Linked DNA regions of Macaca fascicularis. The protein of the gene in region 2 interacts with the protein of the main gene of each other region in a pairwise test. Links are inferred from orthologs where the notes say so. Each region holds a gene or a part of one and is shown on either strand. Other genes may lie near its edges. The genes, in order: KLHL38, TRIM54, TSHZ3, ARHGEF5, FAM161A, FAM110A and OTUB2.

Region 1 (4,183 bases), on a different chromosome or scaffold from region 2:
CGTCTGCCAAATTCCTGTAGGACTTCACTATCTGGCATTCAATATTCTCTATAATAGCTTGAATTTTTAGATATGTATTTTTCTCCTCAAATGAAGATAAACTCTGTGCATAGAGATGGCATTTGATATCCTTAAACTCTTGCTGAAAATCCTTCTTGCCTCCCTCCCTTCCTCTCTTCTTTCCTTGCAAATGACAAGTGTTTATATGAGTGTACATGGGTGCACATGTGTGTGCATGTATGTATTTGTGTTCACGTGTATGTATAAATGTGTGCATGTATGTGCAGATATATGTGTGTATGTGTGCATGAATTGTATGTGTGTATGCATGTGCACATGTATGCTTGTTGGTATGCGCATACATGTGTGCATATGTGTACACATGTGCACATGTATGCATGTTGGTATGTGCATACATATGTGCATACGTGTATGTATGTATGCATGAATATACATTCGTGCATATATATGTGCGTGCATGTATACATATGTGTATTTGTGTATATGTATGTATGTACATGTGTGTGTGTTGGTGTATATGTGTGCATGTGCATGTGTGTGCATGCAGGTGTGGGTGTGTCCATGCACACATACTCATGCAGTTATGTGATGGGAAGAACCAGTCATTTACCTGGATAAGGCGCACAGGGTTCTGCATGATGTCCTCTCCTCCAAAGAGATAGAGTCTTTGGTCTTTCACAGCGACTGCGGGGTGGAGCACCCCCACGGGCATGCTGGCCATACTCTCCCAGACATTGCAGATGCTGTCATATCTTTCCATGGAGCCCATGAGCTCCTGCCCTTCTCCAATACCCCCGATGGAGAAGATGAAGTTCTTATGGGCAGTGCTTCTGTGGGAGTAGCGGGCCACCAGCATGGGCTCCCCCAGCCTCCACTGGTTGAGTTTGAGGGAGAAGATGTAGACGTTATGACTGACCAGACTCCTCCCTGAGCTGACAGCCATGCCCCCCAGCACGTAGACGCTGCGGTGCAAGGTGACAGCAGAGGCCTTGTACAGCCGTGTCGGGAGTTTGGCAAGGCTCTGCCATTGGCCAGTCTGTTTGCTATACAGTAGGACGTCCCTGGTGGTCTGCTGGCTGTCCTTCCTTCCGCCCAAGAGGATGAGGAAATCTTGGTAAGAGTTTCTTGGAGGGACATGCAATAGGAGTTTGCAGTCTGGGGCGCTGGTGCCACACAAAGAGAACATCTGTCTTTTGGCGGTCTCCAAGATGAGCTGGCATGCAGGCGAGGACTGCAGGAGGGCATCGTTGGCGATGAAGTGTTGGAAGAAGGCTGGGTGGATGTACTGCAGCCTGACCTGCTTGAACAGTTCCTGCATGTATCGCTTCCGGGCCTGGAGGTCATGCTTGATCCAAACCATGAGGGCCTCAAACACCTTTTCTTCCTCCCCACAGAGCCCATCGTCTCCCAGATAGTCTCTCAACTCCAAGGCACAGAGCTCCTTCAGGTCGGCTGATGCGGCCACCTCTGGGAAGGACGTCAGTGCCACCTCCCTGGCTTTCTTCTTGAGGGTCTCGCAGCTTAAGATTTCTGAGAGTCTGATCATGCCCAGGCAGTTGCTGGGGGCCAGCTGGCTCTGCAGGTATGAGGAGCAGGCCTCAAACAGCTTGGGGAACTGTAGCATGGAGGCGGCCTCCATTACGGGGAGGACATTGTCAGCATCGATGAGTGCCTCCCCCGTGTACACGTAGGAGACGATCTGGTCCAGGGTTGGGGGGTCAATGCCTTTCAGCTGCACTTTGGCTTCACTCTTCTCCCGGAAGCTGCTGCAGAACATAGCCCTGAAGTAGGGGCTGCTGGAGGCCAGCACGTTGCGGTGGCAGGGGATCTCCCGGGCACCGGCACAGATGCTCACATCAGTCAGGATCCTGCTTTGCCTTAAGCTGTTGAGCTGCCTCAACAAGTCAGAAGAGAAGTCATGATCTTTGAAGAGCACCCCATCTGGAGACTCCTCGTCCATCCTACAAAGAGGGAAGGAAGCCCCCAGAGTCAGCAAGAGTCAAGTCTTTCTCAGCTCAGGCGCTGGAGGGTTCAGCTGCGGGGACTGTAAGACCAGTGCTCCTATTCCATTCCCCATGATGTTTGTGGATGTCGCCACGGATATTGTGTAGGGAAGATTGGAAAGGAAGGCCACATACATCTCAGACCTGAGCTCTTTTGGGTTATGGTTATTTTCGAAAGTAATAGGCATATAGTATCTTCAGCTAATCTGAGAGAAACAACCAACCAAACAAACTAAAGTTGTTGGAAGTTACTCTATTATCAGAAGCTGAAATGTTAGTCTGAAGCAAGATAACAGTCCATGCATTTGGCCAGCAGAAGTTCCTGAGCCTTTTTCCAGATCGATGGCATATCTGTTATTGAGTAAACTTGTCTAAACATCTCTTTCTGGGTGTCAATCATTCCCCAAAGGTGACACTCTGGAGGTGTGGCCCTCTGGTCACTGGACAGAAATGAGGGAAGAAAATGGACCTTTGATACATATCTTTAAATATAACTTCATTGAGTCTTGTTTTAAAGATGGAATAAATAGAAGGAAAGACCAAACAATCCCCTGGTTTATTGGATGACACCTGGCTGTCTACCTGCAGAAGAAATAAGCATGAGGGATACTTACCTTGTTTTGCCGCGGTGACATCCACTGGTGCCTGGTCTGGCTTGTCCCCCCGGAGAGTTTCTACCTCTAGCTCTGAGGGAAACCATAAACTCCAGGCCTTTCTTTCAGTTGGCAAATGATTTGTCCTGGGAGATTTCTGGATTTGTTTATGCTGAAGGCACTTTCATAGTTTTCTAGAGCTTTGTGCAAGGACTGCTGGCCAAGGAGACAGTGTATACATTCCAGGGCTAAGAATAGTTGCATATGTACTTTCCACTGTTATGACATGTGACTTTCCAGTTGCCTTTTGCAGCAACCCGAGGGCCTGCAGGGCCCGCGCATGCCCACATGCCGTGTTTCCTTGGCAAGTGTTTACATCGGCAAAAATAGATTGGGAGGAGTGGCTTCTGTTAGAGAAGACTTTGCTGTCTGCTTGGAACCATCCCGAGTCCCCTGTCCTAAAAGTGCCTGGGAATTCTAGCTGTCTGTAAACAGGTTGCTGTGACCTGTGGAGAGTCACTGAAGATGGTTCTGGGCCACAGTGAAGGTGGCAGGTGGTCACAAGGGAAGCCGGAGCATGAGCCTGTGGGTGCTATTCAATGGATCCCTATTTCCCCCCATCTGCCTGGCAGGATTGCTGGGGAGAGCTGTGATTTCCTCCTCCAGGAGCCTAGGTGATGAAATCCATGACAAGAGTTGTTTTTTTTTTGTTGAGCACCCCAGGGTTTCCAGACTCATGAAGGCCCAGACCTTTGTCGGGTCTCCTTACTCGGGAGCCTCTGATTGACAGTTGCAAGGCCGAGCTCCTCCTGTCACGTCTGCCTCTCCCAGACACGTGCTGATTGCTCTTCAGCTGGCTTTTTATAGTTCAGACTTCCTTTTCTGTCTTACTTTTCCATTTTGTCTGGTCTGGCAGCTTGAGCTAGAGGCAGGAGGCAAGCCATATTGCTTTAGGGAGAGAGAGAAAGAAGACAAAGGGGGATGAGGAGGAAGAAGAAGCAGGGACAGAGGGAGGGAGAGAGAATAGAGGAGGAAGAGGAGGAGGAGGAAGAGAAGGAGGTAGAGAATTGGGGGAGGAATGAGGATAGTGATGTGGTAGGAGGCAGCTTTCAATAACAATCAGAATCACGAGAAAGAGTGAGGGGGACCTCAGGTCTGTCCTGCCCCTGCCTTCAGGGAGATTCGTGATTGTCCTAGCCACGAAAGGCAGGCAAGCCTGACTTCGTCTCCTACTCAAAATCTTGCTCAGACTAGTGCAATGGCTTCCCATGCATTTTTTTTTCTTTGCTCCTAGTGCTTCTCTCTCCAATACATCCACCCTGTCCCCTCTGGAGCAGCCCCTGGGAAGGCAACTCAGAATTTGCCAGTTCTCAGCATCAGGCCCTTCAGTGGCTCCCCATGTCCGCAGGACTCCTTAGCTGGAATCGGACTGGTGTCCTGTCTGCCTCTGGAACCACGTCTACTGCCACTCATGTGTAGTAGTTTAGCTCCGTGAGACACTTACAGATGTTTGTATGCATCTGGTCGCTGTTGGGGAAGCTGGGCTGGCCTGGTCTTTGGGACACC
Region 2 (3,639 bases):
AGCCCCGCCCCCAGCCAGTGGAGCAGCCCAGCCCCCTCCTTTCCCTTCCCGCTGTGCCTACTCACTTATTGATCAGCTCCTTGGCCTGCTGCAGGGAAGAAAAGGAGGGTGAGAGTAAGCACCGGGCCAACCCGGGCAAAGTCCCATTTCTGAGTCTCACCACAGTCCTGTGGGGTAGGTGGGAAGGCACATCCCAATCGTTAAGTAGAAAATGAACTCAGAGGGGGTGACTTGCCCACGGTCGTAGTGGCAAACAGGTGCAAGAGACAAGACTTGAACCTGGGTCTCCAGGTACCAAGGCCCCGACTCTAGCCACTGTGCGGCACTGCTACCCTCCCCTAGGGCCCACCTGGAGGTAGAGCGCCATCTGTGGCTCTTCCATGGACTGAATGGCGGACTCCACCAGCTTAGAGGAGGCCTCCAGGTGGTCGCCATACTGACGGATGAGGCCGCGGACGCGCTGCAGCTTCTCCTCTTGCTCCCGGGCCAGCGCCTGCAGCAGCTCGCCCTTGCGCTCCTCCAGCACTGCGCACAGGCTCTCAAACCTCTGGTTTAACAACTGCTTCTGCCTCCGGCTATTGTCCTAAAAGATGGGGAGCAAGGATGAGGGAAGGCGTGGCTGAGACCCGGTGGCTGGGAAAGCACAGGATACTCACAGAGAACCAACACAGAAAGTGACCCACCCATAGTGACACTGTGCGTTAGTGGCTGAGCCAGAATCCAGCCCAGATCTTTTCCATAATAAAAACACAATACTTTAAAGTAGCTTCACTGAGTGTTGTCTATATCCCTAGCCCTGGTTTTTATTTGCATTATTCCATATAATTCTCAAAAAGAACCCATGAGGTAGCTGGTGTACCATTTATCATCATCACTGTTTTATGAGGTTAAACAAAACCAAAGCACAGAGAAGTTAAATAATTGGATTAAAGTTTTGCGGAAAAGCTGGAATGAGCACCCAGCAGCCTGGCAAAAGCACCTCCCACCACTCCCAGGACCCCAGAAACTTTTGGACCAGTTTGGCCAGAGGTCAGAGAGGAGCAGTTCTCTTGGGAGCCCGGGGTCCGCAGGCCAGCCAGTTGCTGTTCCCCCTGCCCTCCAGCCCAGGCTCACCTCAATGGTCTGGCACACCTCCTCCATCTGCGTGATGACTGCTTGCACACGGTCATTGCCTGCCACTAGCATCGCGATGCCATCGCTGAGCTCACTCTGATACACACACAGGTTAGCACTTAGAGCTGGGACCTCACCTAGAGCTATACCCCTCACCCCAGCCAGGGTTGCCTAGGAGAGGGCTGGCCCCTCCACCCCACCCCCCATGAGGGCATCTACAGCAATCTAGAAGGTTTGAACCATCAAAAGGTACAAAAGCACATTCTAGGGATTCTGGAAGGAGGTGGAGAGAAGCCCTCCACCACTAAGTGGGGAAGGAACAGACAGTCTCCAAACATCCACCAGATAGTAGGCACTGGGCTAGATGCTTTATCTGTAGATTCGTTTCCTGCATAAATTCTGAGAAATTCTTCACGATTATCCATCTGCATAATATTGCCTTTTCTCTATTCTCTTTATCCTCTCATTCTGGGAATCTGATTAGACCTGTTAGACCTTCTCACTCTCAGCCTTCTCATCTCCTAGAACTGCACATTCTGTTTTTCTTTTAGTCCTCTCATGCTATTCACTAGTTCTGTTTTCAGACAAATCTATCATTTAATTCACCTGTTGAGTTTTTTTTTTTTTTGAGACGAATTCTTGCTGTCACCCAGGCTGGAGTGCAGTTGCGTGATCTCAGCTCACTGCAAGCTCCGCCTCCTGGGTTCTCGCCATTCTCCTGCCTCAGCCTCCAGAGTAGCTAGGACTACAGGCACCCGCCACCACACCCGGCTGATTTTTTGTATTTTTAGTAGAGACAGGGTTTCACCGTGTTAGCCAGAATGGTCTTGATCTCCTGACCTTGTGATTCGCCTGCCTCAGCCACCCAAAGTGCTGGAATTACAGGTGTGAGCCACTTCGCCCGGCCGAATTTTTTTTTTTGTAAGAGACAGTCTCACTCTGTCACTCAGGCTGGAGTGCAGTAGTATGATCATTGTTCACTGGATCCTCGAACTCCTGCACTCAGGCGATCCTCCTGCTTCAGCCTCCCGAGTAGCTGGGATTACAGGCACATGACACCACTCCCAACTAATTACAACAAAAAAATTTTTTAGGCCGGGTGCAGTGGCTCACACCTATAATCTCAGCACTATGGGAGGCCAACACGAGGTCAGGAGATCAAGACCATCCTGGCTAACACAGTGAAAACCCGTCTCTACTAAAAATATAAAAAATTAGCCAGGTGTGGTGGTGGACACCTGTAGTCCCAGCTACTCCAGAGGCTGAGGCAGGAGAATGGTGTGAACCTAGGAGGCGGAGCTTGCAGTGAGCCGAGATCCTGCCACTGCACTCCAGCCTGGATGACAGAGTGAGACTTCCGTCTCAAAAAAAAAAAAAAATTTTTTTAGAGATGGAGGTCTCACTGTCACCCAGGCTAGTCTCAAACTCCAGGCCTTATCCTCCTGCCTCAGCCTCCCTAGTCACTGGGTTTACAGGTTCCAGCCACCATGCCCAGCCATCTGTTAAATGTTCTATTTTATATATATATAATATATATAATATATTTTATATATGTTATATATATTTTATATATATATATATTTGAGATAAGGTCTCACTCTGTCTCCCAGGCTGGAGTGCAGTGGCTCAATCTCAGCTCACTGCATCCTCGACCTTCCAGGCTCAGGTGATCCTCCCACCTCAGCCTCCCAGGTAGCTGGGACTACAGGTGCATGCCACCACGTCCAGCTAATTTTTTGCATTTTTTTTGTAGACGGGGTTTCAACATTTCCCCAGGCTGGTCTCCAGTTCCTGGGCTCAGGTGATCCTCCCACCTCAGCCTCCCAAAGTGTCGGGATTACTGGCGTGAGCCACCACACCCAGCTACATGGTTGTTTTTTGGTATTCTATTATTGTTTGGTTTTTTAAATTTTTCATCTTGTTTTAAAAAGCATTTGATTCATAGTGACTTCCAATTATTTAATAATTCCAATATCTCAGTTCCTTTTGGGGGGTGTCCTAAATCTGTAATTTTTATGTCTGCTGACTTCACTCATGGATTACGTTTCTCTGTGCACCTTCAATTGTGAGCCAATATTTTGTTGATATTAATTAATCTAGGGAATACCTACAGGCCTAAACTGAGCATATTCTCCTCCAGGCAGTATTTGCATTTGCCTCTGTTGAAAGCCAGGTGGCGCAATTTACTGCTTTAGCTCCTAGGATCCTTGTTTAACCAGCAGTCTCCGGAACTTTTTGCCGTTGCCCAGGCTGGAGTGCAATGACGTTATCTCAGCTCACTGCAACCTCCACTTCCCAGGTTCAAGCGATTCTCCTGCCTCAGCCTCCTGAGTAGCTGGGATTACAGGGCCTGCAACCACGCCCAGCTAATTTTTGGTATCTTTGGTAGAGACAGGGTTTCACCACGTTGGCCAGGCTGGTCTCAAACTCCTGACCTAGTGATCTGCCCGCCTCAGCCTCCCAAAGTGTTGAGATTACAGGCGTGAGCCACAGCACCCAGCCAGGTCTCTGGAATCTTAGCTGCAG
Region 3 (4,439 bases), on a different chromosome or scaffold from region 2:
CCCATTCCCGGCCTGAGAGCTGGCCCAGGGAGACACAATCGAGCCCGCAGCGCATCGATGCGCCGCCGCCCGCGCCGCTCCGGCTCCGGCTCCCGCTCCGCCGCCGCCGCCCGGGGGTCGCCCGCATGAGCTCAGGCCCACCCGCGCCCTCGCCGCCGCCCGTAAGTGAGCCCGCGTAGCCCTACCGCCCACGCCGCCCGGCCAGCTCCTCCTCCCCGCGGACCGCCGGCCGGGCCCTCCCGGAGCCTCAGCGACCCCGATCACCAATCAATAATCAATCCCTCTAGTCCAGCAGCGCCGGCAGGCCGGGCGCGGGACAGGGCGCGGCGGCCCCCCCGGCTCTCGGGGGTGAGCCCCGGGGGGGGATGGGCAGGGGAGCCCGATTTCCTTCTCCCGCCCCCGTCCCGCCCTAGGATCGGCCCGCGCCGTGGATGGGGGGCGCGGCTCGGCTCCCAGGGGGCGAGGGGCTGAGTGGAGAGACCCTGATCATCCCAAAGTCAGGAGAGGAAACTTGAAGGAACCCCCTCCCACATCGACCCCCGGGACGGGCCCAGGAAAGTTTGTCCGGGGAAAAAAAATTGGGGGAAGTGGCAGCGGCGGGTCCTGGGGGAGGAGCTGGGTGGCGCGGGGTCTGAAGGCTGCCGCCACCCGCCCCGGCCCGCGCCCGCCTCCTCCCTGGAGGGGGCCCGCCTGTGGGCTCTGGCATCCCCGGGGGGCGCCAGCCCCGGCCAGCGCTGGGGGCTCCGCAGTCCGCGGGTGGAGAGGAGTGCGGGCCGGGCGGGGCAACTGGGGGGTGGCCGGGGACGAACGCTGGGTGGGAATAGGGGTGGGGGGTAACGGGCGCCCCGGGACGGGCTCGGCGGGGCTGGCGCCGCGCCCCTGCGTGTGCGCACGGGGCGGAGGCGGAGGGGCGGCACCCCTTTTGCTGGCGGGGCGGGGGTCCCAGGCGGGCCTGGGGCCGGGGGGTGGGGGCGCGGCGCCCCCGCGAGCGGGCGAGTGACACGATCATCTCCTTTTCCTTTAAGCTTGCCTGTTGCCGACGCCGCCGCTCCAGCCGCGCCGCGGGCAGAAGACTGGACCGCCGAGCCCCAGGCCGCGGCGGCGGCTGCGCGTCCCCCCGGATGCCGTGACCCCCGGCCTGGGGGCGGGGGCCGGGGCAGTACCGGCCCGGGCCGCTCCCGCGCTCCTCCTCCCACCCCTCTGCCCGCCCTCTCCCCCTCTCCCCGCCCCCCAGCCCCGAACCCCGCGCACCTCGTCTGGGGACGGGGCGGGGGGGGGCAGGGCCGCCGCTCCTCCCCGCCCCCTCCTCCTCCGGCCTCTGGAGCGATTTGTCAAACTTCCCATTCCGCCGGCAGCGCGGTCCTCCTCCTCCTCCTCCACCTCCTCCTCCTCTGCCTCCTCCTCCCCCCCGCGCTCCTCCCTCCCCGAGCCTCCCTCGCCCGCCCTCCTTCTTCCCTCCGCACGTTCGGGGTTCGCGGCGGAGCGCGGCGCGGGGGGGACGCGGAGAGCCTGGGCGCAGCAGCATCCTGCGGGCGGCCGCTCTCCGGGGGGGAGGCTGAGAGCAGGCCCGCCTCGCCCCCCCGCGGGCCCGCCGCCCCTCCCTCCCTGTCCTCAGCCCGGCAGCGGCGGCGGCGGCGGCGGCAGTGGCAGTCGCCGGAGAAGCATCATGCCGAGGAGGAAGCAGCAGGCGCCCCGGCGCGCAGCAGGTACGAGCCGCTTCCCCTTCCTTCTGCTCTCCTCCTCTTCCTCCGCTCGCCCCGCGCCTCCAGCGGGCGCGACCCCGCTCCTCGCCCCGCTCCTCTGCCCGCGCTGAGTAACTCCGGGTGCAGCTCTCCTGTTTGGGTGCGTGCGCCCGCCTCGGGTACCGGGCGCCCCCCGGACGCCCCGCCGCGCTCTGCCCTCTTCCCTCTCGCACCCACTTGGGGAGCCGCTTGCTGGGCGCGCTGAGCCGCGCCAGGTCCCTGCCTCCTGAGCTCTCCGGCTCCAGAGGGGATGGGAAGCAACCCCGGTCTGGCTTTTTCTGTGGGGGGCGGGCGGGGTCACCTGAGTTCCCCGGGACACCTTCCGCGTCCTGCGGGCGGCCGACCGGCGGGAGACTGCCCGGTGTCCGCCGAGCCAGGGAGCGCGAGCGAGTGAACGAGCCAGTCCCCTTGGCCACCTTAGTGCTAATCCGATTGATTCCTCATTTCTTGGGCCCAAACTGGGCACAGCGGTGGAAACCGGAGCGCACAGGGTCTGGGTATTGTCAGATGACTGTCAAGTCCATGTTAGATGCTGGCGTTTCCTTCTCCCCTGTTTGTGTTTCCTTGCCCCCACCCCCTCCTTGTACTGCTGCTCCCACCCTCATCTCCGCATAGCACTTAGTTCTGGGACGTGTGTGAGTACTTTTTTGTTCCTCCTTTTTTTTTTTTTTTTTTTTTCTTTCTTCAACCGGGAGTGTCAACTCCTGTTAAGACTGAGCCGATTTTTTTTCTTTTCTTTTCTGGAAAACGCATCACTGAAAACAAAACAAAAACCACACACATAACATTATTTTGCAATAATGTCGGTTGGGGGCATGTTGCCTGGAAGAAGGGTTTCTGGCCCGTTGCCATCCTTGATTTGATGACTGATTGATCGCCCGTCATGCTGCTGCCTTTGATCTATTCATTCCCAATAAACATCAATAAATCACTTGGAATAGTGAGGCCAAGCTCTGTGACGTCAGGAGGGGCCTGTCAGTGCAACTTTGGGATTTGGGGCGAATTGCCGAGAGGACCACATATGGACGTGATGTATTTTGATATGAGTAACACTCAGATGTGCAGAGTTCAGATGCTCCCTGAAGGGGAGGGTTAAGTGGGGCTTCCTTTCTTCTGTTTCCTCTTCCTTTCTTTTACTTCTCTTTTGATGTTAGAGGAAAGGGCAGAGAGTAGGGTCAGGGCATTGGCTGGTGCCCATCTTGGATGAAGGCGTTGTACCCATCGTGCCCATAATTTCCATCACGCCAGCCGGCACTGCCAGGGGACCTCACACGTTGGCTGCACTCTGCACTCCAGACCCCTTACACGGGGTCACAGAGAAGGAATGATAATTCTCTCTTCTTCCAGAAATGTACTTGCCTGCCAGTGTCTTCAGAAAATCTCAGAAGAAAACAGGGTTGGTTTGGGGCTTAGGATGCAGGTTTTGTTCTCTGTCCTCTGTGTTGCCCAAATTTAGAAAGTTTGAAAATTCCAGGAGTGATTGTAGGGAGCTTGCCGCCTCCCTAGTTAACCTCCTGGAGCTTGCTTCTTGCCCGTCCCACCTTCTACTTTAAATTCCAGGCTCAAGCAATGAGCTTATCTACCCAAAATAAACTCTGAAACTTTGGAGGAATCCTTCACAAAGTTGAGTAGTAGGAATGTCTTGGGCTTCTTCCAGTCTTTGAAAATTTTTTTTTTCTTTCCTTTTTGGATACACATTTTAAGGTATGTGTGTGCCTCCATCCAATGAACCATATGTGATTACATCTTTACATTTGGTTCAGAACTCTCTCTCTAGTTCATCTCTTCAGTTGCACCCTGCCAATCTGAGACTCATATTTGATAGCTTCCTCCAGAAAAATATCAGAGGAGGAGGGAACCTGCTGTTGGCTTTATTTATTTATTTATTTTTAGAGCAACCTGTTCACTAACCTTTCTGCACTTTTTTTTTTTATTATTAAAAAAGAAAGCCAGCCAGGAAATCTCAGGTCAGTTAAGAAAAATTCATTATATAAAAAACTTGACTGCAGGACTAATAGGAGATGGAAGAATGGTTTTGCTCTATCAAAATGACCCGTCAAAACGACTTTGTTTCATATTTGATTTAATTGTCTCTCTCCTGACAGGCACATTCATCAATAGCTTAATGGTCAATCAGAAGCTGGCAGCATGAGTGCTTTCTTTCTTTCCCATACTCGGGTTTTGGATTTACTTTATCAGAATGCCTCTGCCTAATGGACATGTGGAGGAGGGGGTGGAGGCTGACTGAAGAGCTGCTTATTTAAGAAGAGTGGAGAAAAAAAAAAAAAAAAAAAACTCCACATTTAGGCTGGTGATAAGTATGCACAGAGGTTTTTTTGGTTGGTTTGTTTGTTTGGATGGACAAGAAACTTCCCATTTTTTTTCTCCTCTTTTTCAGTTCTCCCAGCTGCAAGTTATAAGGTTCATGCCAGCTTTTGTGGCATACTGGGAGTGATGACAAATTGATTGCTTTGTACTGATAGAGAGAGAGAGAGTGGGAAAAAGAAAGATGTCTGCTGATTGGTAACTGGAAATCCAGTCCCCAGCAACCTTGAGAATACTCGAGAATTTTTTTTCCCCTCCAAACTGAAAGGTCCGCTCAGCCATAAAAAAAGAAAAGTTGTTTTGCCAGCTTCATTAGTGTTCACCTAATTAGCTGTAAACCTGATGGATTCCTGACAGCTTTAATGATTGGAG
Region 4 (3,639 bases), on a different chromosome or scaffold from region 2:
GAAAAGGTATGGAAGGATCCTCCCTAGAGGTTTCAAAAGGTGCATGGCTCTGCCCACACCTTGATTTGGGACTTCTTGCCTCCAGAACTGTGAAAGAATGCATTTCTGTTGCCATAGGCCACCCAGTCCATGGTACTTTGTTACGGCAGCTGCGGGAAGTGAACACATTCCCAGCGCTGCCCTTCCTGCAGTGCCTGGCCTGCTGCTCACACGTCCTCCCGCTTACCATCATTGCTCTGCTGAGTCACCATCACCACGTCGGCTTTCTCCAGTGCCAACTCGTCGTTCTCTCGGGGCTTGTAGGCTCGAAGGCACTGTACCTGGGGGGAGTCTTTGGAAGAGAAGAGTGTGAAGAAAGGTTAGGAGACGCAGGGGATTGGAACACAGACAGGGACTTGCAGGGGGTGGCGTGGGAGGACTTGAGATAGAGACGGGTTTGGGCTGTTGAAAGTCACAGACAAAAGAGGAAATTTGAAAATGGTTAATAAAGAAATAGACATACCAGAAATGAAATGGACCAAAAATTCCACTTCTCCAGAGGAGACGGGTTGAGAAATACATTGTGACCACCTTTAGTTCCTCATCTCGAACACCTGAGATCCAGCTAATGACCCATCTTCCCTCTGAAACCCTCCCTGACTCTAATCTTCAATGGGTTCTGAACTCTTAAGACTGCTTGTTCATGCCAAGGCATTTATCCCTTATTTAACTGCTACATGGACATGTTTTGCCTCTCCAACTGGATTATAAAATCTGAGTCTGTGTCTTATTGTTCATTTTCTTCCAGGAACCAGATGTGGAACCAAGAAAGACTTAACCAGTGGGGACCCAGGTCTGACCTAAGCAAGAGACTGAATGCCCTGGAGCTTCAGTTTCCTCATCTATCAGTGATCAAGATGGTTATTGATCAAGGTTGATCAGATGACTCTTGAGAACATTCAGGATTTCTCTATTTCTATGTTTCTGAGAACCAGGGGACATGTCCATAGAGCTGAAGCTCAAGAAAACAAGCCTCAGAGAATGCTTCACCTATCAGTATTCCATCGTATGTGGGTTTATGGCTCTTTTATGTTACCACACTGCCTTGATTCTCTTGTAAAACAAACGGAATACTGCATTACTATTTGCTTTCTCAAGATCCTCCCCATTGGCCATTCGCAAGGTCAAAATGAAGGAGGAAGAGTGCTCCTGCCCTCCTCACCCACTGGGGAACTGAAGCCAGCAGATGGAGCACACAGAGAGCAAGTTAGCGGAGCTCAGTTACTACACGGCTCTCCTACTTCATTCCCAGGGTTCCTTGTAGTTGTTTGTTCTTTTCAGTCACCAAAGGTCCAGTGTTGAGATCAGATTCTCTGTTTTTAAATTAGGAAATCTTTGCTGGAGGACAACTGTGGGGCTGGCATGAGAGGCATAAGAAGTCCAGTCTTGGTGTGAACGCAGACACATACAGAATATGTGTGCGCCTGCGGCTCCCCATGGGCACCCAGAAGCCTGGGGTAGGTGACCTCAGGTCACCCTCTTAGGAGAAGTGTGGTCAAGACAGATCTGGGGTGCTACCCTCCTGCACACCTCCCACCACCGTCAGGCTTTCTTCCCCTACCCTCACAAGACCTTCAAGCAGCTAAAATCTAGGCGAAGTAATGTCAGCTTAGACTTAAGGGGACAAATGTTTTTAAAAAGAGCAAACTATTGCCCAAGGAAGGGCGTGTATAGGGAAGGGGGACTGCCATGGTGACGAGCAGTTTTAGGCGATACGTTTCAGGCATTTAAGCTCTAGAGGCCAATCTTCCACCCTGACATTTTACAGAATATCAATAAATGGAAGCCTAGAGTTCCCACCCAGTCCTTTAAACCCCTGTATCCAAAGGTGACATCTGACCCTGCTTGCTTTTCTCTCCCTCTTAGACCCTCACTCACCATAACACTCCAGGAGGTCCAACTCTTCTCTTGGCATGGCCAAGGCTGAGATCCACCGAAGCTTTTCACTTCTGAGAAAACAAAGCAGGGTCATAGCGTCAACTGTGGGGGTGTAGCAGGAGGGCCAAGGATGGGGATGGCAAAAGACTGTGGGAAGGACTTATTAGTTCCACGACTTCTACCACAAAACTATATAGGACTCCTTTTGGTTGGAAACATGACACAATCTTGAACTATATGTGAATGTGTCTTGTCACACTTTACTTTTCCTCTTCTCTTTCCAGAATTATCCTCCTTAGGGCTTCTCATATCTTCCAAGTTGGGGCATAAAGTCTGTTAGTCATAAAGTCTATAGATTTTCTGTTTTGGAAATTGTGCTAAGTGAAGCGTCCATCTCAGTTTAGAGTCCCTCCACCATTTTGCATGATTCTTGATACTCCCTTGCCTATCTCCCTCCAACCAAATATCTCAGAGATGAGCATTGTTTCATAATAATAATTAGATCAGGGAGATATGTCTATTTTATTTGTTGTTGTTGCATAGTGTAATACAAGCCTAAGTTTGTAATCATTTGAAGGTTTTTACATTCTCTTTGCCTCTGCGCTCAGTTGTGCCTAGGTAACTGAGCCCAGACACTATTACTGTTCCAGAACACCGTTCAAAGCAGCAAACCAACAACATGCATCTGCATCTGATTATTTGACTTATGTGCTATTTCGCACACAAACTCCTATACTAGTCCTTCTGTTCAATAAATGAGAACAGGTGTTGTCGGTCCCACTCTGAAGTATCTTCCAAGGGACAAAACTGAAAAAGTGTCTACAACATAGGGATCCTCAAACACTTAGATATGTCAAACTTTTAAACGACTGTTCATATATCTTTTATAATAGGAATAACAGCTACAGGCTTTTATATGTTCATGATTGCAGGCACTGTGTTCCAGATTTTATAGGTCCTATTAATACTCTCAAAAGTGTATGTCTGTGTGAATGCATTTTATTTTATTATTATTGAAAACATGAGCAAATAAGCATTCTCAACACTATGGATCTCTGGTCAACAGAGGACTGGGTTGGAAGATGGGAGCACAGAAAGCGAAAGTCACCCGGCACTTGTCTTATTCACATCTGTGCGCACCAGCTGGGGCATAGAAGGGCTTCTGCCTCAGGCATGGAGGCAGGTGCCCACAGATATCAGTATTCCAATCCCTTGCTCACTCCATACCAGTCCTTCTCCTTTCTGATACCACACAGACCTGGTCCTTCTTGAGTAAAGAGTGTAAAATAGATGCTAGGCCTCGGTGGTGACTTTGTACCCTCTCCCACCGCAATCTCCTGCAAGTTATCCATTAGTTCCAGGCGTTTGGATTTCTCTATGGTGGTCCCCAGTCCAGAATGGGTTAAACGAGGCCGTGGCTGTTTTCTGGACACATTTTCTGTCTTGGTGCCACTTCTTTTCTAGGCTGCCCATCTTCCCCCATCCCCAACTCCTCTGCCCAGCCCCGTCTCACTGAGTCTCCGTGCTGAAGAGGAACTCGGCCTGGGCGCCCTGAGTGCTCTGCCGCAGAAAGAGTCGGAACAGGTTTTTGTGAGGTCCATGTAGCTTCATTTCACACTTCTCCCCCCGAATGGAGGAGAAGGGAGCATGGTCAAATACCAGGAATCGGCTACCCCTGCAAAATACAAATCCTTTCAACCTGATTCTAGAGTTTCCATACTT
Region 5 (4,152 bases), about 35 Mb from region 2:
TACTACATTTTATAGATGATAAGGTTAAGGCAAATTAACCTTTAGAAATCAAGATGGAGCCACCGCGCCCGGCCACTGCACTCCAGCCTGGGCGACAGAGCGAGACTCCGTCTCAAAAAAAAAAAAAAAAAGAAATCAAGATGGAGACCCAAGCCAACCAGTGAAGAAATCAGAGCCTCTTTCCTGCACTCTTCCTGCCTTTTTAATGCCTCTTCCCCAAGCCCTGTGCGCCTGGCTATCAGACCCACTGTGGCAGCTTACCCAGCTTTACTTTTAGATCCCTCATGTGTGGTGGTCTCAGAACAGTATCAGATTCTTAAGACTTGGATTCCTTCTGTTTTTTGTAGGATCCTGTCCTTTCCATACTAGATTATTGTATAAACTGATCCCTCCTAAGGTAATAACAGTTTCTAACACAAATTTGCAGTTGCCGGGCGCGGTGGCTCAAGCCTGTAATCCCAGCACTTTGGGAGGCCGAGACGGGCGGATCACGAGGTCAGGAGATCGAGACCATCCTGGCTAACACCGTGAAACCCCGTCTCTACTAAAAATACAAAAAATTAGCCGGGCGAGGTGGCGGGCGCCTGTAGTCCCAGCTACTCCGGAGGCTGAGGCAGGAGAATGGCGTAAACCCGGGAGGCGGAGCTTGCAGTGAGCTGAGATCCGGCCACTGCACTCCAGCCCGGGCTACAGAGCAATACTCCGTCTCAAAAAAAAAAAAAAAAAAAAAAAAAAATTTGTAGTTTAACAGGGCACTTTGGAAGCATATCTGCAACTTAGAAGTGACTGACTCCTTTCCCACAGCAAGCCAAAGTAGTTTAATCTTTGGGAAGGCACACAAATGACACTCCCACTGGCATCTCGTTTATATAGATTACTCTTTTATATAGATTGCTCTTTAGAGGAGACACACATTCTTTCATTTGGTTCTCATAGAGCTGAGATGGGAAAAAGAGACAATTATTATAGTTATTTTACAGATGAGGAAACCGAGATTTAAAGAAAGTGTGTCCTAACACCACCTAGGGAGTGGCAGGGAATGGATCCTAATATGTAACTCTTAAATAGTTTTTCTCCATCACGCTGCCTTGTTGCCTACTGAAAACTGTGTTGAGGGGTAGGTTATAATGAACAAAATCAGTCCTAGCACTCTGATCCTGGTTCACATTCAGGGTCTCAGTCTACCTTACTCTGGATAACTTCAAGTTGTTTACTGGAGAAAGACTGGTCACAAAAGGTGTTGCTAAAGATGCTCTCATTAACAATTTTATGGTAGATTAAAGAGATTAGAATTCCAAAATATCCAGGGATTTCAATTAGTCCTCAATCATAAGTTTTGTGTTTGAGAAGCTTTGGACACATGGTATTAAGAAACTTTTTCTGGCCGGGCGCGGTGGCTCAAGCCTGTAATCCCAGCACTTTGGGAGGCCGAGACGGGCGGATCACGAGGTCGGGAGATCGAGACCATCCTGGCTAACACGGTGAAACCCCGTCTCTACTAAAAAATACAAAAAACTAGCCGGGCGAGGTGGCGGGCGCCTGTAGTCCCAGCTACTCGGGAGGCTGAGGCAGGAGAATGGCGTAAACCCGGGAGGCGGAGCTTGCAGTGAGCTGAGATCCGGCCACTGCACTCCAGCCTGGGCGGCAGAGCGAGACTCCGTCTCAAAAAAAAAAAAAAAAAAAGAAACTTTTTCTATCTGCAGATTGCTAGTTTAAATTCAAGATTCCTTTTTTTTTTTTTTTTTTTTTTTTTTTTTTTTTGAGACTGGGTCTGAGATCTCAGCTCACTGCAACCCTCGCCTCCCAAATTCAAGCAATTCTCCTGCCTCAGTCTTGCGAGTAACTGGGATTACAGGCGCGCATCACCATGCCCGGCTAAATTTTGTATTTTTAGTAAAGACGGGGTTTCACCATGTTGGTCAGGCTGGTCTCGAACTCCCGACCTCGTAATCTGCCTGCCTCGGCATCCCAAAGTGCTGGGATTACAGGCACGAGCCACCGCGCCCAGCCAAGATTCCCATCTTTTAAGTGAATAGAGCAGATGGCAGACCCTGCCCTCCACCTGCTAGACTGGTGTCCACAACAGATTTAACACTGAAAACTGATCAGTGAAAAGGCTGTCTCGCTGTACCCTAAGGAGCCGTTTAGGAAACACTGAAACCTCAGTGATTTGCTTATCTGTATCCGTGTCTGATTTAGCCAGTGAACACGTGATGGTTTTAAACACGCCTCTCTCCAGCATTATGTTGAGATCCACTTATAACCAAGATCTTAAGGTAATAACGAAACACACCTGACAGAACAGTTTTCCTCAAATTATAAAATCTATCTATCTATCCATCCATTCCCGAGATGCTAGAGAGTAAAGAGTAAAATTCTATACTTTGCACTCGCCAGAAACAGAGTAACATAAATGTTGTCTAGGAAACTTTTACAACTGACTCTCTGGTGAAAATTAAAACACTTTTCAACGCCTCGATTTAGAGTATTTTTCGTGAGCGTAGAGAAGGGGCTGGGCCAGGACCACCAAGTAGGGAGTATGTGCACAGGGTCCCGCGTTTACCAGCCTGCCCTCAGCTGGGCGGGGACCCGGACAGCCCTCAGCCAGCACCCAGCCCGTGCGAGGTCCCAACCCACGTCCCGCCCCAGTATTACCGACGCCTCAGCGGACTGCGCCACTTTCTCCTCCTCTTCGTCCTCCAAGATCGCCTCTGCTGCCGCCAGGGCCTGTAAGGGGTCTTCGCGTTCGTACTGGGCGACCCGCGCTCTAGTGATGGGATTTACAGGAGTCTGGAGACTGGAGGCCACCAGCTTTGCCGCTCGGTGGGAGGCGGCCATCGCCCCGCCTCCGGGACCTGAGCGCCTGCGCTGGCCCGGGGCGGGAAAGCTGGTGCGGTCCCTGGCGACCCGGGGGCTCCTAGCTAGGGAGCCGGTTGCTATGGGCGCCGTAACTGGGGACACTACAGGAGCCGCCAGGGACCAAAAGTCACACAAACTCCTCTCAGGCTGCCAGAGACCCGAGTCGGGTGCTTACTGGATCATGGCGGTCAGTACCGAGTCTGTTTGCTGGTTCCAAAGGTTGGCAGGCTGAACAGGGCACTTTTCCTCTCCTTTGCGTTTAACCGCCTGAACGCAGACTTCTCACATTATACAATGAAACAACTGCTTTTGTGAAGAAAAGAGCGCTTTTTTATTAACTGCAATAATATGTTAGAAGGAGACGGTTGATGGAGGAGACGGCGGCGGAGGAGGAAAGCAGGGCGTATTACTGGGTGGCGGCCTCTGAAGAGTGGCAAGGTTGGCGTCGCGCTACCTAACATGTCTCCCGCGGGAGCCAGCGTGGGAAGGAGGGAGGTGCATTCTACTCTGATTTACTTGAGGGCTAGTAGGAATCCACCAATCAGAAGGAGGCTCCCGGTTGTCCCTCTCGCGTTTTTCTTGGCCTGACCAATAAAAGCCCAGAGTTGGGTGGTGCCTGACCCTCCCACTAATGAGTGAGGGTGCAGGTAGTGTAAACCTGGCGTTTGCTTTGGGTTCATCAGCTTGAGAGTGACAGGATTGAACGGCGCGAGTGCCCAAGAGTCATCACAGACACACCCATCTCCCTCATCCGTATCTTCTCTTTCCACTCGGGATTTGGACGCATCAAATGGCGCCTTCCCTCTGCACCACGTGGTCGTAAGAGAAGCCAAACCTCAAAATAGCGGACGTGGTGCAGTCTCAGGCATCTGCTCCATAAGCCCCTGCTTACTGAGGCCGAGGCTGCCGCTCCCTATCTACTCCCTCCCTATCTACCCCTCTCTATCCTTTGCCCTCCTCCCGCTCCCCAGCCCTAGGACAGGCCCCCTCCGGTCAGTATTTTCCTCGTTATGCGTTGCACATCGTCGAGAATCCATCTCTAAGGTCTGAGCCCTTACCAAACCTTTGTTCTCCTGTATGGGTGTGAGCACCAGCAAAGTCTCCCACGTCCCCACTTCCTTCAGGCTGCTCTTTGTTTTGGCTAAACAGTTCCTTCCAGTGCTGGAACAGATGCTGGCTGGGTTCTAAGCAGAAGCCAGAGCTAGAACCATGGGATATGGACCGCCAGGTATGGCCAAGTGTCCAGGGGAGCAATTTCCAGTCAGTCACGGCAGCCAGTTTTGTGGCTACAAA
Region 6 (4,318 bases), on a different chromosome or scaffold from region 2:
GGTGTGGATGTGGACATCTAGGCCCACTGATATGCTCACCTCTACCAAGTTGATCTTCTAGGTTTGCACTTGAGGTTGCAAAATGGGGACAAAGGATTTTGCAGTGGGGACGGAATGAGAGAGATAACACATGCAAGGTCTTGGGGAAGGACCTGGCACGCAGGATTAGAAAGGTGAGTGGGAGGCAGATCCATAGCCAAGCCCACTTCCTATCCTAGACCGCCCTCTGCCCAGGCCTGAGTACACCATCATGACTTCTTAGCTCAGCCCAGAGACTGAAGAAACTTAGTGTCACAGAGCAAGTCAGGGACAGGGCAGTGGTCTCATGATTTATAAACATGCATATATATATATATATATATATATATATATACACACACACATACATACATACACACACACACACATATATATATGTAATTTTATTTTTTAGACAGAGTTTTCCTGTTGTCACCCAGGCTGGAGTGCACCGGGATCACCGCAACCTCCACCTCCCAGGTTTAAGTGATTCTCCTGCCTCAGCCTCCCAAGTAGCTGGGATTATAGGCTCGTGCCACCACATCCGGCTAATTTTTGTATTTTTTAGTAAAGATGAGGTTTCACCACGTTGGCCAGGCTGGTCTGAAACTCCTGACCTCAAGTGATCCACCCGCCTTGGCCTCCCAAAGTGCTGAGATTACAGGCGTGAGCCACCGCACCTGGCCTTAATTTTTAAATTTTTAAAATAGATGATACATGCACACAACTCAAAATTCAAAAACGGTAAAGATAGTGAAGTTTAAAAAAAAAAAACAACAACAACCTCCTCCCACCCTGTCCCCATTTCTCCTCCCTGCAGGCACCATCGTGACCAGACAGTTGCTTATCCTTCCTGAGAGACTTTAGGCAGATGCAGGCAAGTATGAATATATATTCTGTCTCCATTGTTACACATATGGCGTCATGATGCTATGTGTACCATTTTCATCTTGTTCTTTTTGCTCAATAGTATGTTTTGTTCTTGGTGCCACATCAGTACATAAAGAGCATGTCCTTTTTCCCAGCTGCACAGTAGAATTTCCCATCATCCCCTACTGGTGGCCACTTAGAGTGTGTCTCATTTCTGCCTACAAACCACACTGCAGCATCACTGCATCTACATCATTTTGCTTAGAAGTGGGACAGCTGAGTCTGGGGGATGTATTTGTAATCCACAACCAAGTCTGCTTCCTATCCTAGACCGCCCTCTGCCCAGGCCTGAGTGCACCATCATGACTTCTTAGCTCAGCCCAGAGACTGAAGAAACTTACTCAATGTCACAGAGCAAGTCAGGGACAGGGCAGTGGTTTCACGATTTATAAATATGCATATATATATACACACACACACATACACACACACATATATATAGAGAGAGAGAGAGAGAATGAGATGGGAGGACTGTGCTTCATGAAGGCTGTGTGAGTTAACCTCCTGCCTGCAGAACATACAAATGGTCCATGAACATTAGTTTCAGTTATCTTGATTACTGAGGTTCAGGGCATCCCTAAATTTTGCACTGGTGGTGAGGACCTCAATTGCCTCAGCCCCTGCCTTGCATCACAGTGGGAGAAGGTGATAAATTTGCTAATAAGTAAAATATATAGGACATAAGGTGGAGTAAATGCTACTGAGAAAAACAAAACATGCAAGAACAAGAGCAAGGCTTATGAAGTCAATAATATTTGTTGAAAGAATAAAGGAAAGGCTTGTTTTCTGAGTGTTCGGAGATCCTGTCCCCAAAGCCAGGGGGAGGCTCCAGAGGAGAGGAGATATGTAACTCCCTTATGAAGAGATTCAAGACTCTCAAAATGCATGACTCTGGGTGTCAAGGATTCTAAGATTGAAGCCAGAGGGACCAGGAGCTAATAACCACTGCATTGTCTGACTGGGACTTCGACAAGAGGCTTAACTTCTTAGAACCTCAGTTTCCCCACCTACAAAAGGAGACTGACAATAGCAACCTAGGGGGCAAGGGGTGTCCCCAGGAGACAGAGCAGGATCTGGCCTAGATCAGATGCTCCTCCTGAGGGAATCCCGGCCCCACCCCCAATTCCAAAGTCTCTGGTGACTAGTGGCTTTGGTTCAGGGACTGGCTTTATTCCCTTCCCCAGACCGGGGAAGATTCCCAAGAGGCCAGCAGCGACTCTGGGGGCTGGAGAATCTGCTGCCCCTATATCCAGCCCAGAAATGTCAGTGCCATCCGATGGCTAAAGAGTGGTCCTCTGAGAGGGGGAGCTCTGGAGTTCAGAGCCCAGTAGGCAGAAGGGCGCCAAATGAGCCGAGTCCAACCCCGGACTGCGGAGAAGAAAGACGCCCAAAAGGGGTATCCCGAGGACAGTGTGGGGCGCAGGGATAGGTGATCCAGCCAGGGGTCCATAGGCCGTGTCCCTGCCGATAAAATGCTGGGAAAATGACTACTAGTTGCCCGTCTGTACCTCTCAAGGCAAGTCTAGATACGACTAGACTAGGGGCTGCGAGGTAGGGCGGAAAGCCTTGAACTGGATTCTCTGCCAGAGCTCGCCGAGCCAGGACACTTGCCTCTCTGAACCTCAGAGTCCTCATCTGTGAAATGACACGCAGGTACGACGCGGGGAGAAAGCAGACAGCAGGCGCTCGGGGAACAGAGTCCCCCAGACCCCGGGTCGCACCCGGAACCACCCGCGCCCTCACCTGGAGCTCGTCCTAGGCGTGTCCCGGCTCCTTCCGCGCAGTCTTCGGAGAGGCTGACAGCTCGGACCCGGGCTGGTAGTGACCGCTCCCAACGGCGCCCAGGAGGCCCCAGCCCCGCGTGGGCACCTTTGGGGTCCCCTTCGGAACTGCCCTCCGCAGTCGAGCTGAGCGGGTGGCCCTGACTGTCGAAGGCCCCCACCGCAGGGAAAGTCCCTCGAGCGCCGAGAAAGGGGAAGTGAGCACCCCGCCCCCCTTCACTCCAGAATGGTTCGACCCGGACTTCCTGATTGGTTCCTCGCTTCCGTTCGAACGGCGCGCCGCCGGGGTTGCCAGGCGACCGCTTAGCTTCTGCAGCCTGAAGGAGCGGCGCGGCTCAGCAGCTCCGCCCCCACCTCCCAACCGGCCCCACCTTCTTCCTGCCGCCGCTTCAGACCCGGCGCCTGGTTCTTTCCCTTCCTCCTCCCTCCGGCTTGCAGCTGGGACTTCCTCTAGGGCACCAGCTGGAAGAGCTCCAGTTAGAGGACCCTGGTTGATTCCTAGTCCTGACTTTGACGCTAACTCCCTATGTGACCCCGCACAGCCCCTTCCTTTCTCTGTTCTCCTAACTGCATGATGATGAGTGAGTTAATTTTAAAATGTGCACACCCAGCAGTCCTGAAATTTACAAAGGAAATGACCAAAGATATGAGCAAAGATTAATATTGCTCAGCCTTATTCATCATGACAAAATAATGGAAACAACTTAAATGCCTCTTGAAAGGGGTTGGTTATATAATTCCATCCTGTGGAAGAGCTAACTAACTTAATTGAGCGTTTTACATGCCAGGTAGCTTTACAGAACAACTCTTGTCAAGGCTTATGACATAACCCTCTAAAAGTACTTTTAATTATTAACACTTTCTTTTTTTCTTTCCTTTTTTTTTTTTTTTGAGATGGAGTCACCCTGGCTGGAGTGCAGTGGTGGGATCTCAGCTTACAGCAGCCTCAGTCTCCTGGGGTCAAGCAATCTTCCCACCTCAGCCTCCCGAGTAGCTGGGACTACAGGTGTGCACTACCACACCCGGTATTTTCTGTATTTTTTGTAGAGACAGGGTTTTGCCATGTTGCCCAGACTGGTCTTAAACTCCTGGACTCAAGTAATCCTACCAACTCAGCCTTCCAAAGTTCTAGAATTACAGGCATGAGCCACGCCGACTAGCCTAATTATTCCCACTTTCTGATGAGGAATATTATGCAGCCATTAAAAATGAAGCAGCCACCAGGAGCAGTGGCTCACGCCTGTAATCCCAGCACTTTGGGAGGCTGAGGCGATCAAATCACCTGAAGTCAGGAGTTGAAGACCAGCCTGGCCAACATAGTGAAACCTTGTCTCTACTAAAAATACAAAAATTACCCAGGCGTGGTGCTACAAGCCTGTAATCCCAGCTACTCGGGAGGATGAGGCAGGAGAATAGATTGAACCTGGGATGTGGGGGATGCAGTGAGCTGAGATCATGCCACTGCACCCCAACCTGGGCAACAGATCATCTCAAAAAAATAAAAATAAAAGTGAAGTAGCTAAAAGAGATTTAAAGATAGGGGGAAATGCTAAGTATTAAATATTGATTTATTTATGTTTTTTAGAGAC
Region 7 (4,171 bases), on a different chromosome or scaffold from region 2:
CCCTGTGTCCACTTCATTGTCAGAGAGATCGTCCAAGTCAACCATCTCTCACTTGTCAAAAATATGTTATGGTTTCCCTCTTATTGGTGGAATAAAACCCAAACCCCATAGCACAAGTGAGGCCCTGCACAGAACATCCTGATCCCACCGAATTTTCCAGACTCAATTTCCCTGCCTCCCTCAATCTCCTTGCATCTTCAGAGGCTGTTTACCTTTCCCCATTCTTGACCATGCTTCAAAGCCTGATAGCCCACTTTCCCCCCGCACCCACCAGAAGGAATGAACCCTTCCCAAATCCTTCTTGAACACTCATATACATCCTTCAACTCAGCTCAAAAGACCTCCCCCAGCTCAAAAGACCTCCTCTGCAGAACCTTCCAACACCCCCACTCCCTCAGAGCATATTGACCCCTCACTGTGCTCCCAAAGTCCTTAGGCCTCTTAGGCCATGACCTGTAGCTCAGACACTGCTTGTGTCCAGCTGTCTTGGCCAGCAGGCAGTGAGGTCCTAGAGCGGGCGGGCACCTTGTCTTTCTCATTAGTGTCACAGTGCCCAGCACAGGCCTGACAAAGGCGCCCACTGGGGACCTGTTTGACAAATAACAGAACAAAGCACAATAGGCCCCTGTGGTTTTCCTGCTTATGTCTGATTCATTCATTCGCCAAACATGAAATGCACCTTGAGTGCATGAGACTCCTCGCTATTTGCACTCCCTGCCAGAGGCCTGGTCCTTGTCTCACCCCTACCTTCCCAAGGGGCTTTGTGTCTTCCACGGGGGGCCCTTCCTCAAGCTTAGCCCAGTGATGTAGAAACAGGAAAGCAAAGAAGATGCTGTATTTTCCAAGGATATTCCTTCTGTCACACACACACACTCACCACCATCCACACAATGCAGGTTCAACATAAAAACCCACCATGCAGTATAGGGCCCAGTATGGTCCCCACATGCAGTAGGTGCTCAATAAATGCCACGTGAAGGGAAGGGAACAGACAGACCCTGCACTGCCTCCACCCCTGTGATTCCCAGACAGACATCCTATTTTAGTGGGTTAATCACTTCATCCATTGCCAAGGCACTCAAGCCCCCGGTGAGGTGTGAGGGCTTTGGACCCCACCTGCCCTCTAACTTCCAGTCTCCTGAGTTAGGGCACATAGGGGGCAGAGTGAGCGGCCTCACTGCATGGCACAAAGAGCGGCTACCGCCTCTGCTGTGCTCTCAGCTGCCGAGTGGTGGCCAGAGGGCATGCCAGCCTCCAGCTCCCGGGTGGCTAAGCCCATCATTACCCCAGCTCCATCCCTCCCTGGTGGGTGATGCAGAAACACCTGGGCTGCCTTCCAGGAGCAGCTCAACCAGGTAAACCCTTGGGCACCAAGTGGAAGCAGGAAGCTGGTGCTTCCAGATGCCCCAGAGGCCCCCAGCTACGCCCCAAGCTGGCTTGGCAAGGACAGTCCCAGCTCGAGTGCCCTGGCTGCCTATGCCACACCCAGATCATGCCAGGCCATGACCAGGCTTTGACCCATGCCCCAGCCTGGCAGCATCCTGCTGCGGTGACCCATTTTCCTGCCCAGTCATAGGAGAGAGGAGGCTAAGCTTGAAGAACCAGGCATCTGTGCACACCCATTTCCAGGACTCTGTTGTCACAGGAAAAGCTCCAGCTAATCATCTCACATGGTTCTCACAGCAGCCCATTACAGATGTGCAAAACGGTGCTGAGGGGGAGAGTGGACCAACCAAAGCCTCTTTGCTTTCCAGGAGGTGGAAGTGAGACTTGAACCTGGGGCTGTGTGGCCCCGACTCAAGCCACTCAGCCCTCACTCCACAGGCTCCCCCCTGCTCAGGGCTGAAGGGTCTTAGGCAGCCATCCCACCCAGTCCCCTGCAGGATGCCTGACCCCATGGCAACCTGGAAGGTGAGCTGATGTAACACAAAGAGTACTGAACTGAGAGTCCAGAGGCCTGGGTTCAAGTCCCAGGACCACCACTATCAGTACCAGCCCTTCCCTGTCTGACCTCAGTTTCCCCACCTGCCCAAGCCCAGGGTTAGCCTGGCTCAGAGGGTCTCTGGGCCCCGTTCTGTGCAGACAGGACTCTCCATCAGGGATTCCTGAGTATTTTCTTTTCCCCGACCCCTAACTCATGTGCCTCACAACTTAAGGCAACCTCTCCACGTGGGTCCCGACTCCAAAAATGGAGACGGACTAGTCGCCCGCAGGGACAGACGATCTGGTCCCCTGTGCAACTCCTAGATCCCCTCGTGGGGTTGGGGCAGGGGCCAGGAGTGGGTTGGTCTTTGACGGCTGAGCCCTCGGGTGGGAGGGGCCGTGGACTGCTGACTGGGGGGCTACTTAACAAAGAGGAGGCGACCCATAGCGCTGCAGCCTCCCTGTCCCTGCTTCCGTCGAGGGCGCCCACCCAGCGCCGTCGAGGCGGCGCCCAGGGCCAACTGGGGCGGACACGCTGGGGGCGGGGACTCGGGGCCGAGCTGGACCTCCTCAGCTGCACGTCCACGGGGGACAGCGGGGCGCGACCTGGCCCCCAGTATCCGTCCGGACTCCGTATTTCAGGGGTTCGGAACGCGGCGGGGGTGGTCTGGGGGCTGAGCCTCGCGTCCAACCCCCGTCCCGCAGGTGCACCCGCTCCGACAGCGACCCCGCCCACCGCGCCCCCTGCCCGCTCCCCGTTCGCGATCCCCCACGATCACTGACCATAGTGACCGGAGCCGCCAGGCCAGGTCCCGCCCCAGCGAGGAGCGATCCGGTGCGGGAGTGCCGCGGGAGGCGCGGGCGGGCTCCGCCGCTGGTTCGGTGGCGGGGACCTCGAGGGCGTGGGGGCGGCGGAGAATACACCCGACCACTCCGCAAACCAAAGGTTAGACCTCCACTGTGTCCCAGGAAGACACACGCCCCGCAATTGACGTCTCAGGCGGGCAATCAGGAGCCGGGATGCAGGACGTCATAGAAAGTGGGTGGGACTTCACGCGCCTTCAGCCTATGCTTTAGGGACCATTTGACAGGATGCCTCCCCTTTTTAAAGACACAGAAAGCTTTTAACTAGCAGAGGAGTTAGCTCAACCCAGAAAGACAGGTCCTCGTTTGCAAAGGCTGAAGGGCTTTTGCGCAAACCTAAAATTGGAGTCTTCTGAAGGATTAGCTGGCCCTCATTAATTCATAAACAAGGTCACATAAGTATAGTTTGCACAAGATCAGAGGATAGGCGCTTAGGGAACACGTGTCCAATAACATTAAGTATGGCTTCTACATAATATTTTACCCTCTTCTAACTCATGAATCAGTAGGTTGCCACGCACCCAGTTAATGTTTGTTGAATGAATGAATGTCCAGGATCGTTGACTCTGTGGCTCTGGAATTGTAGGGATATCCGTGAACCATGTCTAGATGACTCATCTTGCCCACAAGCTCATTATTAATGGACATCAAAATAGGAATATTTATCATTCAAAGATTCATTCACCAGCCCTTGAGTCCTGGAGGAGCTGCTTTGGGTGTAGTAGGGAGAGTTTGTAGGGAAGGGGGGCTCAGTGCATTGCATGCATCCACTTCACAATATTAATATTTCCAGGAGTGTGTATTGAGCAATTCCCCTTCCTGCTGCTGCCCCGCCCCTCCCCCCCGCCACAACTCTTACTCTGTAAGTCCCAGGCACGAGGCTAGGCTCTGGGCATACAGACATCTGAGTCTTCCAAGCATGTATCATGACCTGGGTAGGGAGTGTGGGGTCAATGGAGGCTCAAGGAGCAGTAACAATAGCATCTAACTTTTTACAGTTATTTATACAGTTATGCAGAACACCTACTATGTATCAGGTGCTATCCTGAACCCTCCACATATACAGAAGTATCTTGCTTAATTTCCTCACAACTGGTTTATGGGGGTAGGTCCTGTTATTATTATCCCTATTTCACAGATGAGGAAACATTACAGAGAGTTTAAGTTCCTTGCGTAAGTCACATAGCACTCAAGTGGGATTCAGTCCCAGGCAGTGTGACTCCAGAGCTGGTTTCCAATTCACTCTGCACGTGACTACAGGGGCTGTGTTACCTGCCCCCACCCTGACCCCCGTTTGTTTTCAGGGGGTTTCTCCTCTTTGTTTTTTACAGCCAAGAAAGCCAGGGAGGTGACAGGAGCAGCCCAGTGCTGCTGAGCTAAGAAG

Evidence for each region.
Region 1: the proteins of TRIM54 (region 2) and KLHL38 interact in binary tests that used the Homo sapiens proteins (3 or more experiments, as listed by UniProt). The two-hybrid records come from large-scale screens. The link is inferred for Macaca fascicularis from reciprocal best matches to the Homo sapiens genes TRIM54 and KLHL38.
Region 3: the proteins of TRIM54 (region 2) and TSHZ3 interact in binary tests that used the Homo sapiens proteins (3 or more experiments, as listed by UniProt). The two-hybrid records come from large-scale screens. The link is inferred for Macaca fascicularis from reciprocal best matches to the Homo sapiens genes TRIM54 and TSHZ3.
Region 4: the proteins of TRIM54 (region 2) and ARHGEF5 interact in binary tests that used the Homo sapiens proteins (3 or more experiments, as listed by UniProt). The two-hybrid records come from large-scale screens. The link is inferred for Macaca fascicularis from reciprocal best matches to the Homo sapiens genes TRIM54 and ARHGEF5.
Region 5: the proteins of TRIM54 (region 2) and FAM161A interact in binary tests that used the Homo sapiens proteins (3 or more experiments, as listed by UniProt). The two-hybrid records come from large-scale screens. The link is inferred for Macaca fascicularis from reciprocal best matches to the Homo sapiens genes TRIM54 and FAM161A.
Region 6: the proteins of TRIM54 (region 2) and FAM110A interact in binary tests that used the Homo sapiens proteins (3 or more experiments, as listed by UniProt). The two-hybrid records come from large-scale screens. The link is inferred for Macaca fascicularis from reciprocal best matches to the Homo sapiens genes TRIM54 and FAM110A.
Region 7: the proteins of TRIM54 (region 2) and OTUB2 interact in binary tests that used the Homo sapiens proteins (3 or more experiments, as listed by UniProt). The two-hybrid records come from large-scale screens. The link is inferred for Macaca fascicularis from reciprocal best matches to the Homo sapiens genes TRIM54 and OTUB2.

What each region holds. Positions count from the first base shown.
Region 1 is NC_088382.1:133,286,691-133,290,873, forward strand, and holds the start of KLHL38 (kelch-like protein 38), read right to left. Parts: upstream 2,855-4,183; 5' UTR 2,725-2,854; coding exon 2,639-2,724; intron 1,983-2,638; coding exon 632-1,982; intron 1-631.
Region 2 is NC_088387.1:94,914,010-94,917,648, forward strand, and holds part of TRIM54 (tripartite motif-containing protein 54), read right to left. Parts: intron 1,210-3,639; coding exon 1,114-1,209; intron 584-1,113; coding exon 350-583; intron 89-349; coding exon 66-88; intron 1-65. UniProt on the Homo sapiens protein: May bind and stabilize microtubules during myotubes formation.
Region 3 is NC_088393.1:38,615,999-38,620,437, reverse strand, and holds the start of TSHZ3 (teashirt homolog 3), read left to right. Parts: upstream 1-1,525; 5' UTR 1,526-1,666; coding exon 1,667-1,706; intron 1,707-4,439. Other genes in the region: uncharacterized protein, read right to left, coding at 410-1,525. UniProt on the Homo sapiens protein: Transcriptional regulator involved in developmental processes. Functions in association with APBB1, SET and HDAC factors as a transcriptional repressor, that inhibits the expression of CASP4.
Region 4 is NC_088377.1:186,023,092-186,026,730, reverse strand, and holds part of ARHGEF5 (rho guanine nucleotide exchange factor 5), read right to left. Parts: intron 3,593-3,639; coding exon 3,431-3,592; intron 1,989-3,430; coding exon 1,918-1,988; intron 332-1,917; coding exon 227-331; intron 1-226. UniProt on the Homo sapiens protein: Guanine nucleotide exchange factor which activates Rho GTPases. Strongly activates RHOA. Also strongly activates RHOB, weakly activates RHOC and RHOG and shows no effect on RHOD, RHOV, RHOQ or RAC1.
Region 5 is NC_088387.1:60,064,992-60,069,143, reverse strand, and holds the start of FAM161A (protein FAM161A), read right to left. Parts: upstream 2,858-4,152; 5' UTR 2,839-2,857; coding exon 2,656-2,838; exon of another isoform or gene 1-2,655. UniProt on the Homo sapiens protein: Involved in ciliogenesis.
Region 6 is NC_088384.1:86,552,247-86,556,564, forward strand, and holds the start of FAM110A (protein FAM110A), read right to left. Parts: upstream 2,929-4,318; 5' UTR 2,692-2,928; intron 1-2,691.
Region 7 is NC_088381.1:162,041,112-162,045,282, reverse strand, and holds the start of OTUB2 (ubiquitin thioesterase OTUB2), read right to left. Parts: upstream 2,908-4,171; 5' UTR 2,710-2,907; coding exon 2,707-2,709; intron 1-2,706. UniProt on the Homo sapiens protein: Hydrolase that can remove conjugated ubiquitin from proteins in vitro and may therefore play an important regulatory role at the level of protein turnover by preventing degradation.